Linked DNA regions of Macaca mulatta. The protein of the gene in region 3 purifies or fractionates together with the protein of the main gene of each other region. This does not show direct contact. Links are inferred from orthologs where the notes say so. Each region holds a gene or a part of one and is shown on either strand. Other genes may lie near its edges. The genes, in order: MRPS9, GEMIN4 and SNRNP70.

Region 1 (3,819 bases), on a different chromosome or scaffold from region 3:
ATTAAAATTTTTATTATTTTATAAAATAATAAAAAACTTCTCTTGGGCTACCAAGAGAAATCTAACTATTAATGTTGTAGGCAGAAGTGAAAAAATGTTAATATTTAAGACAGATAAGCTCTGCGCCAGGATAAACAAAAATCTTTATCAACGTCTTTAGGTATATGTATGCAATCATAAGAATCTAAAGGGGAGTCAGCTAAGTGTTTCAGTTATAGCTGAGCTGTACTTCATGTGGTAAAACACATGCTGTAGTAGTATTCAGGAATCTGGGGATTCAGCCATTTCAGGACCATCCCTTAAGAGTGCTAAGGGTGGATACTGTCTTGTAATTGTTCGACTTTAAATTGTTTACTTCACAGTGCCTGGCAAAGTGCTCAGTAAACATCTGCCATATGGGAGAAAGGGGTTGTTTCAAGACTGGTCAAGGAGATGAAAATTAAAGTAACAAGGAGAAATCATTCTTCATCCATTTTACTAAACCAGTACTTAACAACTAGACCAGATGTTTACTGAAACTTTATTGGTGCAAAGAAAGTAGAAACAAAGCAAAAGTCCATCAATTGTTACATTAACTTTGATATATTCTTATCATGGAATAGTATGCAGCAGTTAAAAATGCTTTTAAAAACATAATAGGGGACCCTGAAAGATTTCTACTTTATAATATACTGCATATGTAGAAGAGAAAAGCAAAAAAGTAAAATGCAATCAAATATGGTCCATTTTTTGTAAAGTACACCTGTGCATGTATGTTTATACACGATTATAAGAACACGAAAAAAAGCATAGAATAGATACCAGGAGGGACAGAAAGTTAGCCATCCCCCAATACACACATTAAATGTCAACAATAAAAATACTCTGTATGACACAGTCCCTCTCATAATCATGTGTATACAGCAAAGATATACTCAAAGAGATGCATGAAAAAATAAAAATTTCCAGCACATTTTCCAGTAAGAAAAAAAGTAAAAGCAAATATCCACATGAATAGATAGAATGGATTGGTTGATCTAGGTTCAAATATAAAAGAAAGAACATAAAAAAAGATGGGTTTTTTTTTTTCAATATAGTTTTTAAAGCATGGTGTTTGACTTCCCTGCAATAATTGGTACTGGTTATCACTCTCCCTCCTTGAAACATTCACCTGTTTTCCATGATACCACACTGGCTGGTTTCTCCCCTGCTTGTTTGGTCTCTCATTCTCAATCTCTTGGGGCCTCCTATTTCTTATTTGTCCTTCAGGGCCCTGTCCCTCTGCCTACTTCTCAGTACACTCTCCCTAGGTAATTTAATTTGTTTACAAGGCCTCAATTACCATCTACAAGATAACAGGGCACTTCGAAATCAGTTCTTCTCCTGAGCTATAGACTTGCCTATTTATAGACCTACTGGAAATCCCAGATGCCTAAACCATAATCCCAAACTAAACTCGTTTCTTCCCTCTCAAATCTTTTTCCTCCTCTGAGATCGCATGTCAGTAAATTGGCATCATCAGCCTACCAGCTGTTGACTCCCCACTTCCCTCTGGATTAAACGAAATGTACAAGTTCTGGCCTGCATCTTTCCATAGAGAAAGATTCGGGAAAATTAAGAAGACAGAAATTGCGCAGATTGAAGGCACTTCTAAAAAGTCACTGTCCTCTACAGAACGTGACTTTCTCCATTGTCTTCCAGGCCCCTGCAGGAATCCAATTCCCCTCATTCTTCTCTGGCGCGGCTCTCCTCCTCTCTGGACAACAGGGCAGGGTAGGACTGGACCCAACACCAGACCTAGGCACCGACCTTTAGCTCAGCCGCCAAATGAAAGAAGAGGTCGCTCCACTTCCACCTGCAGGTAAGTTCCCCCCGCTGCAACCCGCGAAAAAACAAGTAACAATCTCCAGAGCGGCAGCTGCAAGCCAACACCCACCTCCCCACCCCCAACCTCAGATCTCCACTAAATATCTACCCTGCCTGAAGGCACGAGATGCTGGGGGGTGTCCGCGCTGGCTCCACATCCTCGCGCGGCAGAGATAAACCGCTTCCAGTCCTCCCAGGCCTTACCTGGGATCTGACATTTGGTTGCAACTCAGCTGCCGCGGTTTTCCAGAGGCTTTGCTTCCGGACGAGGGTACCCCTACCCCAGAGAAGAAACCAGTAGGAAACTGTTCCGCCGTAGGACACACAGGGGGCCGCCATGTTAGCTGTGGGAGATCCAGGGCCGCAGGGGTGACGGGGCGGGGCCTAGAGACGGCGCAGGCGCTAATGGGCGGGGGGCTCCAGAGGCTGTCCTGAGCAAGAGCTTCTAGGGCCTTTGGATCGGGGGGCGTGTCCCGCGACCCGAGACGGCAAGTCGCTGATTGGGTGCATGGAGTGCGCGGGCCGTATCCGACTCCACCCCTGGCTGCTGTCGCCCTCAAGAAGGAGCGCTAGTGGGTAGTTTATCGCGGCCGCTTTCTCTTCACGTCCTGAATTCTGTCTCTTTGGAACTCACTTCCACGCTCTCCTAGTCTCTTTGGCGCTCACTTCCACGTGGCACTTTAGCCAGCCCTTCCCTCCCAGCCCCCTTGCTGCATCTCGAGCGGGCTCTTCCTCCACCTTGGCAGGGCGGCCGGGGCCCCAGATGGATTCCAAGCATTGCTTCCTGTGTGTCTTATCCTAGTAGGGGTTTTCCCCTCCTCTAACTTTCCACGTTCTTCTGGATCCAAGTCAAGACTCTCCTGCAGCAGCTGTCAAACTGGCACTTTCCTGCGTTGTTTCCTAACTGTACAGGATAAACCTTAAACCGGTGAGGTCAAACACTACCTTTCTCGTTTTTGCACGTCCCTCCCTACGCGTTGGTACTAAGCCTTACTTGAAAGCCAATCAGAACTGATCAATTGTTAGAGATGAGTATGTCTTGCTTTCTGAAACTTGCGTGCTCCTGACGGTTAACTCCCAGGGCGCTTTCTACGAAACACATATTAAATGATGTAGTAACACACTTTAAAAGGGTTTACAAACACTTAGATTTGAAGGGTCAGTAAAAGTAAAACACAGAAAATCGGAGATCATATAAAGTTGTCAAGCAAACACCCTGTACTATCACCATCATTTCACGAAACAACTTTTTAACATTAAAAAGGTAGAATGACATAATTTCACAATAAATAAAAATCTTTTAAATGGAATACATTTACTTGTATAAAATGCTCATCCTGTTGTTCTTTCTGTTATTAGCTTTTAGACTAGCAAAAAATATCATGAGAAATTGGCAGAGGTCAGAGGACTAAACTCTGATTTTTTTATCTTGCCCAAATTCCTATACACGGGATTTGGGGAGTCATGCCCTACAAATCATAAATTCTTATCAGATGGGTTTTACTTAACCCTATATATGGTGACTTACTTTCCAACCTGACTCTGGCATAACATTACGAGACAAGGAAGAAAATCAAAATATTTTACCCCAAAACATGTTTCTTTGCCATATCTTGAAATGGCCCTGCAAAGCTGTCCTTGGAGGGGTGGGATATGCATCCGTAAAGAATCTCTGTTAACATAGCTAGATCTTTTTCTTCCAGACCCTCCCAATCCTAAAGAGATTAACTAAGATCTGAATAGGAAACATTGGTCATCCATTGTCTCTAAGGGCAGCCACTATAAGACTTCTAAAGAACTTTGGTCTCCACAGTCTTTATCTTAAACTGAACATTCCCTTTCTATCAGTCCCAGGTCTTTCTGGACCAAACCAATGTATTTCTTAAATGTATTTGATTGATGTCTCATGCCTCCCTAAAATGTATAAAACCAAGCTGTGCCCCAACCACCTTGGGCACATGTTCTCAGGACCTC
Region 2 (3,819 bases), on a different chromosome or scaffold from region 3:
AGCAATCACACAGCCACAGGGTAATGGGCACAGAAGCAGTCATACAGCCACAGGGTAAAGGGCACAGAGCAATCACACAGCCACAGGGTAACGGGCACAGAAGCAATCACACAGCCACAGAGTAACGGGCACAGAAGCAATCACACAGCCACAGGGTAACAGGCACACAGCAATCACACAGCCACAGGATAATGGGCACAGAAGCAGTCATACAGCCACAGGGTAACGGGCACAGAAGCAATCACACAGCCACAGGGTAACGGGCACACAATCAGACAGCCACAGGGTAACGGGCACACAGCAATCACACAGCCACAGAGTAATGGGCACAGAGCAATCACACAGCCACAGGGTAATGGGCACAGAGCAATCACACAGCCATGGAGTAATGGGCACAGAGCAATCACACAGCCATGGAGTAATGGGCACAGAAGGAATCAGACAAGCCCTGCCTTCACCCTTTACAACCTTGCCTTGGGAACAGGCCTCAAACATTCTTCTACCTTTCAGGTAAACAGTCCACCCCACAGCTCCTTCTGGTCAAAAACAAGCTACTCATGGCCCTGCTCTGTGGGAGAAACCAGGGAGTAGATACAGAAAATACTGTGCTAGATTAAGCCTTCCTTCAGGGAACTAACGATTGACACAGACTTACCATGGAAAGCATCTTGGGATGTTTAATCAGACATGGGTTTAAATCCTAGCTCAGCCATTTAAAAACAATGTGATTCTGGCCACGTGCAGTGGCTAGCACTTGTAATCCCAGCTACTTGGCGGGGCTGAGGCAGGTGGATCCTTGAGGCCAGGAGTTCAAGACTAGCTGGGGTAACATAATGAGAACCCCCTCCATCTCCAAAAAAAAAAAAAAAAAAAAGGATGTAATCTTGGTCAAGTTGCTTCTCCAAGCCTTCCTTCTGCATATGTGGGGATAATACAGACTTCATGTTATAACTTTGAGGATCATGTGATATATACCAGTCAAGCCCTTTCTAGGGGGTTGGTATTGCTATCTCCTGACCCCATCTCTCCGGGACGCTATGATAGATAAATACAGCTACAATAAGAATCGGGTTACAGAGTCTAGTTAGGTACTCAGTAAATGTTGGTTTCCCCAAACCTTTTCATAGTTGGCAGGACCAGAATCTTGTCACTATTCTTTGCCTCCCCCAGCTCAGAAACATCAAAGGATATAGGCCTTTATCAGGCATGTTTCCTTTGGCCTAGAAACTAAAACGAGGGTACAAATACTGCTTCCTATTCCTCATTCCTGAGGCCTCTCCCCTCTCCTAGGATTGAGAGATGCTACTCCTTCCTCAGTCTCTCATGCCCACGAGAGCTCATATTCCCCATTTTCCCAGGCCAGACACCAGCAGAGAAAACGCTGACTCCAGGAAACTAAGGACCATCTTACCCTTCCCACCATTTATGAGAGCAGCAGCAGGACAAGGGTTCAGCACTATGTAACCCACTTGTGGAGGCAATCCATCTCAGCTCACAGTGGCTGAATCTGACTCCCAGGGAAGGTCAGGCTGCAGAGGGGACCTCTCTGGGGGTTACGGCCCTTCTTTCTGGCTCAGGAGGCTCTCCCAGGGTCCCAAAATATGGTCCCTCCTGACGCTGTAAATTTTATTTTATTGCATTATTGGATTAGCTGAGCAGATGTTTGGCCCTCAACACCTGCCTTCCAGGCGCAGTAAGTACCCACAGTTTGAAGTAGTAAGTCAGTTACTAGCTGGAAAACACTCCGGTGCTTCATCACGGATGGTTAATTAGTGCTTACCAGAGCCCGCTTCTAAGGTTTATTATGCGCCTACTCCATGCCAGGCACGGTGCTAGGTGGTGCACATGTAAGATCTCTTCGATTCACAACCACCTTTTGAGGACTATTATTCCGGTTTTAGAGAAGAAGACACTGAGGCGCAGAAACGATTTGCTGAGGGTGCCCCCGCCTGGATGTGGTGGGGCTGGGAAGCAATTACGGCTAAGGGGCTCCAAGCCCTAAGAGTTCTGCCATACCGCTCCTGAAGAGCTCTCTGGGGGCGGGGAACAGACCATTTCCCCCCAGCCTACTACTGCTGACACATCTCGGGGTGCCTCACCCCCAGCTCTCCCAGAACAGCCTCCTGGTCTTAGCAGCCTGTGTCGAGGCTTAGCAGGGAGCTCCTAGTTCCAGGGTTCCCCCTCTCCCAGACCTTGCAAGATTCTGAATCAGGACGCACGCAGGTTCAGAAAGTGACGCCTCAGGAACACAGCCGCCCCAACCGCGGTGTGACCCGCGCAGCCCTGCACGGGACACTGTGCCTCGGCGATCTCCATGAAAAGTCGCCCAACACTCAGTGGGGAGACACACTGTCATTCCCCCAGCTCTGTCGATGAGGAAACCTGATGAGCGTAAGACACTTGGAGCCTAAGACGCTTGCTCAAGAACGCAGTTGCCGTTCAGAAAATGAGGCCGCCGGGACACCCGGGGGTGCTCGGAGAAAGCCCGTTTCTCAAAGCACGTGCGCGAGCCCCGGGCCCCGGGCGTTTCCAGGGGCTCTCACTTTACGTCTGCTCGGTGTTTTCCCGCGGAGTGGGCAAGACCCGGCCCAACGCGCAGCGGGACCCGGACCACCCCCGTCAAGGCCACCCGGGGACCCCCAGACCCGCCCCGACGTGGTGGACGCTTTGGCCCGGGCCCAAGCGAGCGTGCGCGGCAGGAGGAGACGCGACGGGGCGGCACCGTCCCGGTGGCGCATCGCGAGACGCAGCCCGGGGCTGAGGAGACGCGACACCCACCTAGGTCCATGGCGGCGACGCCGGCGGCCGAGCGGGGCTAACGCCCCCTCTACTCCGAGAACGCGAACGCGGCGCGGGACGCACAGCACAATGGACGGCGCAGGCGCCACGGCGGCGGCGCTCAGGCCCCGCCCACAGTCTCCCCTGCGCACGCGCAGTCCTCACGAACGAGCGCGCCAAGCGCACAGCGCCGCCTTCCGGCAGAGGCCTCCCACCCACCCTCAGGTACCAGGCGTCGCTCCCCAGACCCTCCGCACCGTCCCCTGCCCTGGCCCGCTTCCGGGGTCTCAGCGGGTCCGGCTCACGAGTCCCCGGCCCCGCATTCACCCTCACCCGGTAACCCCGGGCGTGCCCCGCACACAGCTCACCGCCACCGAGCGCCTCCCGCGGGCCGCCCACTACCCAGCGCGGCCGCACCGCGCGAGCCTTCCACTCCCACGCGTCCAGTCCGCCCCCCACACAGTCCCTCAACGCGCTCCTGCCGCGCGGCGCCGCCCCCTTCAGACAGCAGCGGCCCGGATCCTAGACGCTTTTGACGGCTGTTCCTCCCCAGAAAATGCACCGTGTGAGCCCAAACGTGGTGGGGTGGCGCCAGTACGCGGGACCCCGAGCTTGCAGCCTGTGCTTGAGAAAACACAAACATCGTGTGCCTGCCTGCGTTCCCCCCTGAGATCGAGTAGTAACCGCCATTCCAACTCTCCACCTCCAGCTTCGAGCACCAGGCACCGCCTCCACCCCCTCATGTGCCAAGTGGAGTTCGAGCTGGCGCGCGCGGCCCTCAAGCAGCTGAAGGGTCCTGTGAGCGATCCGGAGAAGCTGCTGATCTACGGCCTCTACAAACAGGCCACCCAGGGCGACTGCGGCATCCCCGCCCCTCCGGCCTCAGACGTGAAGGCCAGGGCCAAGTGGGAGGCTTGGAGCGCGAACAAAGGGGTGTCCAAGATGGACGCCATGAGGAGCTACGCGGCCAAAGTGGAGGAGCTGAAGAAGAAGGAAGTGGGGGGCAGGGAGCGCGAACAAAGGGGTGTCCAAGATGGACGC
Region 3 (3,600 bases):
GGGCGACAGAGCAAGACTCCCTCTCAAATAAATAAATAAATAAATAGAAACTGGCACATGACCTGCATCATCAAAGGGCACCTACCACCGCCTGTGCCCATTAAGTTAATTTAACTGGCCAGTAACACTTCTCAAATGCGGGTTCACCAAGGGTGGCAAATCCCACTGAAGATACACCTTTCTGTTATCTATGAACTTCTGCTGTGCAACTCCCTCGCCTCCAGCTGCCCTTCCCTACGCAATGCCAGAATGTTCTTGTAACTTCTGGCTATGTGCCAGTTTTTCTCAGGTGTGCTCTGATGCACCTAGGAGAAGACCTTTGTCATCCCATTTCACAAATAAAAACACAGAGGTCCAGGAGCCTAAGTCATTCATTCCTATTTACCCCGAAGGTGCAGAGCTAAGATCCCCATCTGCAGTTTTAAGTCCTCCAATACTCAATACTGGGTGCTAAGTCTTTATGAACATCATCTTATTAACAATAAAAACAGTAAACAAAGTAACAAAGGCTGACACGTGCTGACTGGTTGGTGCCAAGCCCCTGATATACACTTTGCCATTTAATTCTCCAGCATTATGAGGGTGCTACCACTATCCCCTTGCTAAAGATAAAGAAACCAATGCATGAAGAGGATACAACATTTGCCCAAAGTCAGAGCTGATAAATGGTGCGGGTTAAGTGCCAATCTTCAACCACTACTCACTGAATTTTCACAAAAATTCTACAAAAGGGGTACTATCAAACCCTACTTTTTTTTTGAGACAGTCTTCTTCTGTTGCCCAGGCTGGAGTGCAGTGGCACGATCTCAGCTCATTGCAACCTCCACCTCCTGGGTTCAAGTGATTCTCGTGCCTCAGCCTCCCAAGGAGCTGGAATTACAGGCATCATCATGCCCGGCTAATTTTTGTTATTTTTAGTAGAGACGGGGTTTCACCATGTTGGTCAGGCTGGTCTTGAACTCTTCACCTCAGGTGATCCACCTGCCTCAGCCTCCCAAAGTACTGGGATTACAGGCGTGAGCCACCGCACTGGGCCACAACCCCACTTTAAAAAAAATTTTTTTTTTTTTGAGAGACAAAGTCCTGCTCTGTCACCCAGGCCGGAGTATAGCGGCACAATCACAGAGCACTTCAGTCCCCAACTCCTGGGCTCAAGCAATCCTCCCATCTCAGCCTCCTGAGTAGCTAGAACTACTGCTGCACTCGACCACACCCGGCACCCGGCTGCAACCCCATTTAAAACAGCGAAACTGAGGATCACAAAGATTAAGCCCCTCGCTTAAATCACACAGCTAGCAAAATAGTCAGAGGCTGGACTCGCAAATCCAACCCCTTGCTCCCCAGAACCCAAACCATTCCTGGCCTGCTCAGTGAACTCACCTCAAACTCTCGAATGTACGGCGCAATGCCACAGTAAGGTTGATTGTGGTGTTTTTCATGTGGCAGTTTCTCCAGGGGTGGCAGGTATGGGATAGGGTCACGGGGGGCAAAGAGGGCCAGAAGGTTGGGCGGCAGGAACTGGGTCATCTTGCCAAGTCTGAGAGCAGAAGCAGGACAGCCTTAGGTTAGATCGGGTCTGCAGAGAAAGCCCCTATTACTCCTTGACTCTCAAAGTAAGAAAGAAAGGAGAAAAGTCTCGGAATTAAAACAGGCTTTGTAACGGCAGAGAACGGTCCTGTGTTACGGAGAAAAGGGTAAAAGTCTTGTTGGAGGTGGAGGTGAAAGGCCGGTAAAAGACACAAAAATAAAGGCTGAAAAAGGGTTCCTGAGTAGTGAAGTCTCAGAGTCCTGAGACACGAGCTGTGGGGCGGAGAGGTTGCCTGGGAATTTCTGGGGGAATCAAAGACCCGAGGAGGGAGGCCCAGGGCAGTTGTGGCTGCTCGTCCCGTACCGTGGACAGCAAATTACTAGACGCAGTTTGCAAGGGCCTGGGGGTCGGAAGTCTCCGAGCAAAGAAAGAGAAACATAAGGAGCGAAGCCCCAAAACCAAGCGCTTGTGGGTAACAGATCTGGGCCCCGCAAAGGCGAAAGGAATTATGGGTAAGGGTCCAGGACAACATAGAAAAACGAAAAAGAAAAAAGGCTACACACCGCAAGGGCCTGTGGGTAGGGAACCGCGAGGGCGATGTGGGGACCGGGCGTGGGTGCCCAGAGAACTCGGGGTCCGAGAAAGGGATGCAAAAGTGACCTGTGGCGAGGACGCGGGAAGGGGGCCTGGCCGCGGGGAAGAGGCCCGGGCCCACCGCTGGGGCTTCTGGGTAGCGGCCCCGCTCCCCGTCGGGCCACTCAGTCACACTCACTCGCCGCGCAGCGCCCTCCTAGCTCTGGTGTCTGTCCGGAGGCTCGCGGCGGCTGCGGCGGCCCCTCAGCAACAACAGCTCCTGCTTGGGCTTCCACTCTGGGGGCGTCCGCGTCCGTCTGATTCCGTCGCCCGCGCAGCGAGCGCACCAGGCCGCTGCTCAGGAACCCGCGCGGCCTCGGCTAGCGACTGGAGCAGGGGGTGGGTCCCGGCCGCAAATCCCTCCGCCGTCTGCACTGCGCACGCGCCGCGCGAGGCCAAGCTCAACCCACACGCTGGGACCCGGCGCCGCCGCGGCAACAGCGCACGCGCGAGGTCACCACCCCGCCTTCGGGCACCTTGAGTATTTCAACCGCCGGGAGCTGGCGTCTGCACTGCGCGCGCGCGCTTAGCCCCAAGCCGCCCCTCCACCTCTCGCTTTCCGCTCCAAACCGCCTATGTCCGCGAGGCTCTCCCTGATGCTCCGCCCCTTTCCAATCACACTTCCCGGATCTTGCGCGCATGCGTTCTGCGTAGGGAACTATAATGTACCTCTCCGCCGACTAGCAAAGAGTCCCTAAGTGAATGGCCTGATTGCGTTGATGTTTAATCTAGTCAATCGATAACTGTTCATCGAGCATCTCGTGTGTGCTAGGCACTGTCTGGGCTTTGGGGCTACAGCACGTGATTAAAGCAAAGTCTTCTCCTGCTAGGGCTTACACTGTACTGGGAGAGACAATAAAAGCATTTAACTGAGTAAAGATAATTTGAGGCCGGGCGCGGTGGATCACGCATGTAATCCCAGAACTTTGGGAAGCTGAGGCGGTCGGATCACCTGAGGTCAGGAGTGCGAGACCAACCTGACCAACATGGTGAAAGCCCGTCTCTACTAAAAATACAAAAATTATCCGGGCGTGGCGGTGCGCGCCTGTAATCCCAGTTACTCGGGAGGCTGTGGCAGGAGAATCGCTTGAACTCGGGAGGCTGAGTTTGCAGTGAGCCGAGGTCGTGCCATTGCACTCCAGCCTGGGCGACAGAGCGACTCCGTCTCAAAAATAAATAAATATAAAAAATAAAAGATATTTTGAGATAGTGGCCAGCATAATGAAGAACGATGGAGCAGAATAAAGGGATGGGAAATGAGAGCGAGTCTATTTTGATAATGGAAGCCTCTTCTGAAGAGGCAACATTTGAACAAAAACCAGATAGAAGCGAGATCTGGAGGGGGGGAGGAGCGGGGGGTGGTGTTTAACAGTTTAAGTGCAAAGGTCCTGAGCGAGGACCAGATGGCAGAAATCTCAGGTTGTTAGCCATGAGATCAG

What was found.
Region 1: the proteins of SNRNP70 (region 3) and MRPS9 purify together in Homo sapiens (affinity purification with mass spectrometry; 3 studies listed by BioGRID and IntAct, counting the BioPlex papers as one, with this or other methods). This does not show direct contact. The link is inferred for Macaca mulatta from reciprocal best matches to the Homo sapiens genes SNRNP70 and MRPS9.
Region 2: the proteins of SNRNP70 (region 3) and GEMIN4 purify together in Homo sapiens (affinity purification with mass spectrometry; 5 studies listed by BioGRID and IntAct, counting the BioPlex papers as one, with this or other methods). This does not show direct contact. The link is inferred for Macaca mulatta from reciprocal best matches to the Homo sapiens genes SNRNP70 and GEMIN4.

What each region holds. Positions count from the first base shown.
Region 1 is NC_133418.1:13,159,058-13,162,876, reverse strand, and holds the start of MRPS9 (small ribosomal subunit protein uS9m), read right to left. Parts: upstream 2,212-3,819; 5' UTR 2,185-2,211; coding exon 2,050-2,184; intron 1-2,049.
Region 2 is NC_133421.1:2,295,192-2,299,010, forward strand, and holds the start of GEMIN4 (gem-associated protein 4), read right to left. Parts: upstream 2,789-3,819; coding exon 2,779-2,788; coding exon of another isoform or gene 2,386-2,778; exon of another isoform or gene 931-2,385; intron 917-930; exon of another isoform or gene 656-916; intron 1-655. Other genes in the region: uncharacterized protein LOC721152, read left to right, coding at 2,386-3,819. UniProt on the Homo sapiens protein: The SMN complex catalyzes the assembly of small nuclear ribonucleoproteins (snRNPs), the building blocks of the spliceosome, and thereby plays an important role in the splicing of cellular pre-mRNAs.
Region 3 is NC_133424.1:61,533,565-61,537,164, reverse strand, and holds the start of SNRNP70 (U1 small nuclear ribonucleoprotein 70 kDa), read right to left. Parts: upstream 2,493-3,600; 5' UTR 2,301-2,492; exon of another isoform or gene 2,092-2,300; intron 1,538-2,091; 5' UTR 1,528-1,537; coding exon 1,381-1,527; intron 1-1,380. UniProt on the Homo sapiens protein: Component of the spliceosomal U1 snRNP, which is essential for recognition of the pre-mRNA 5' splice-site and the subsequent assembly of the spliceosome. SNRNP70 binds to the loop I region of U1-snRNA.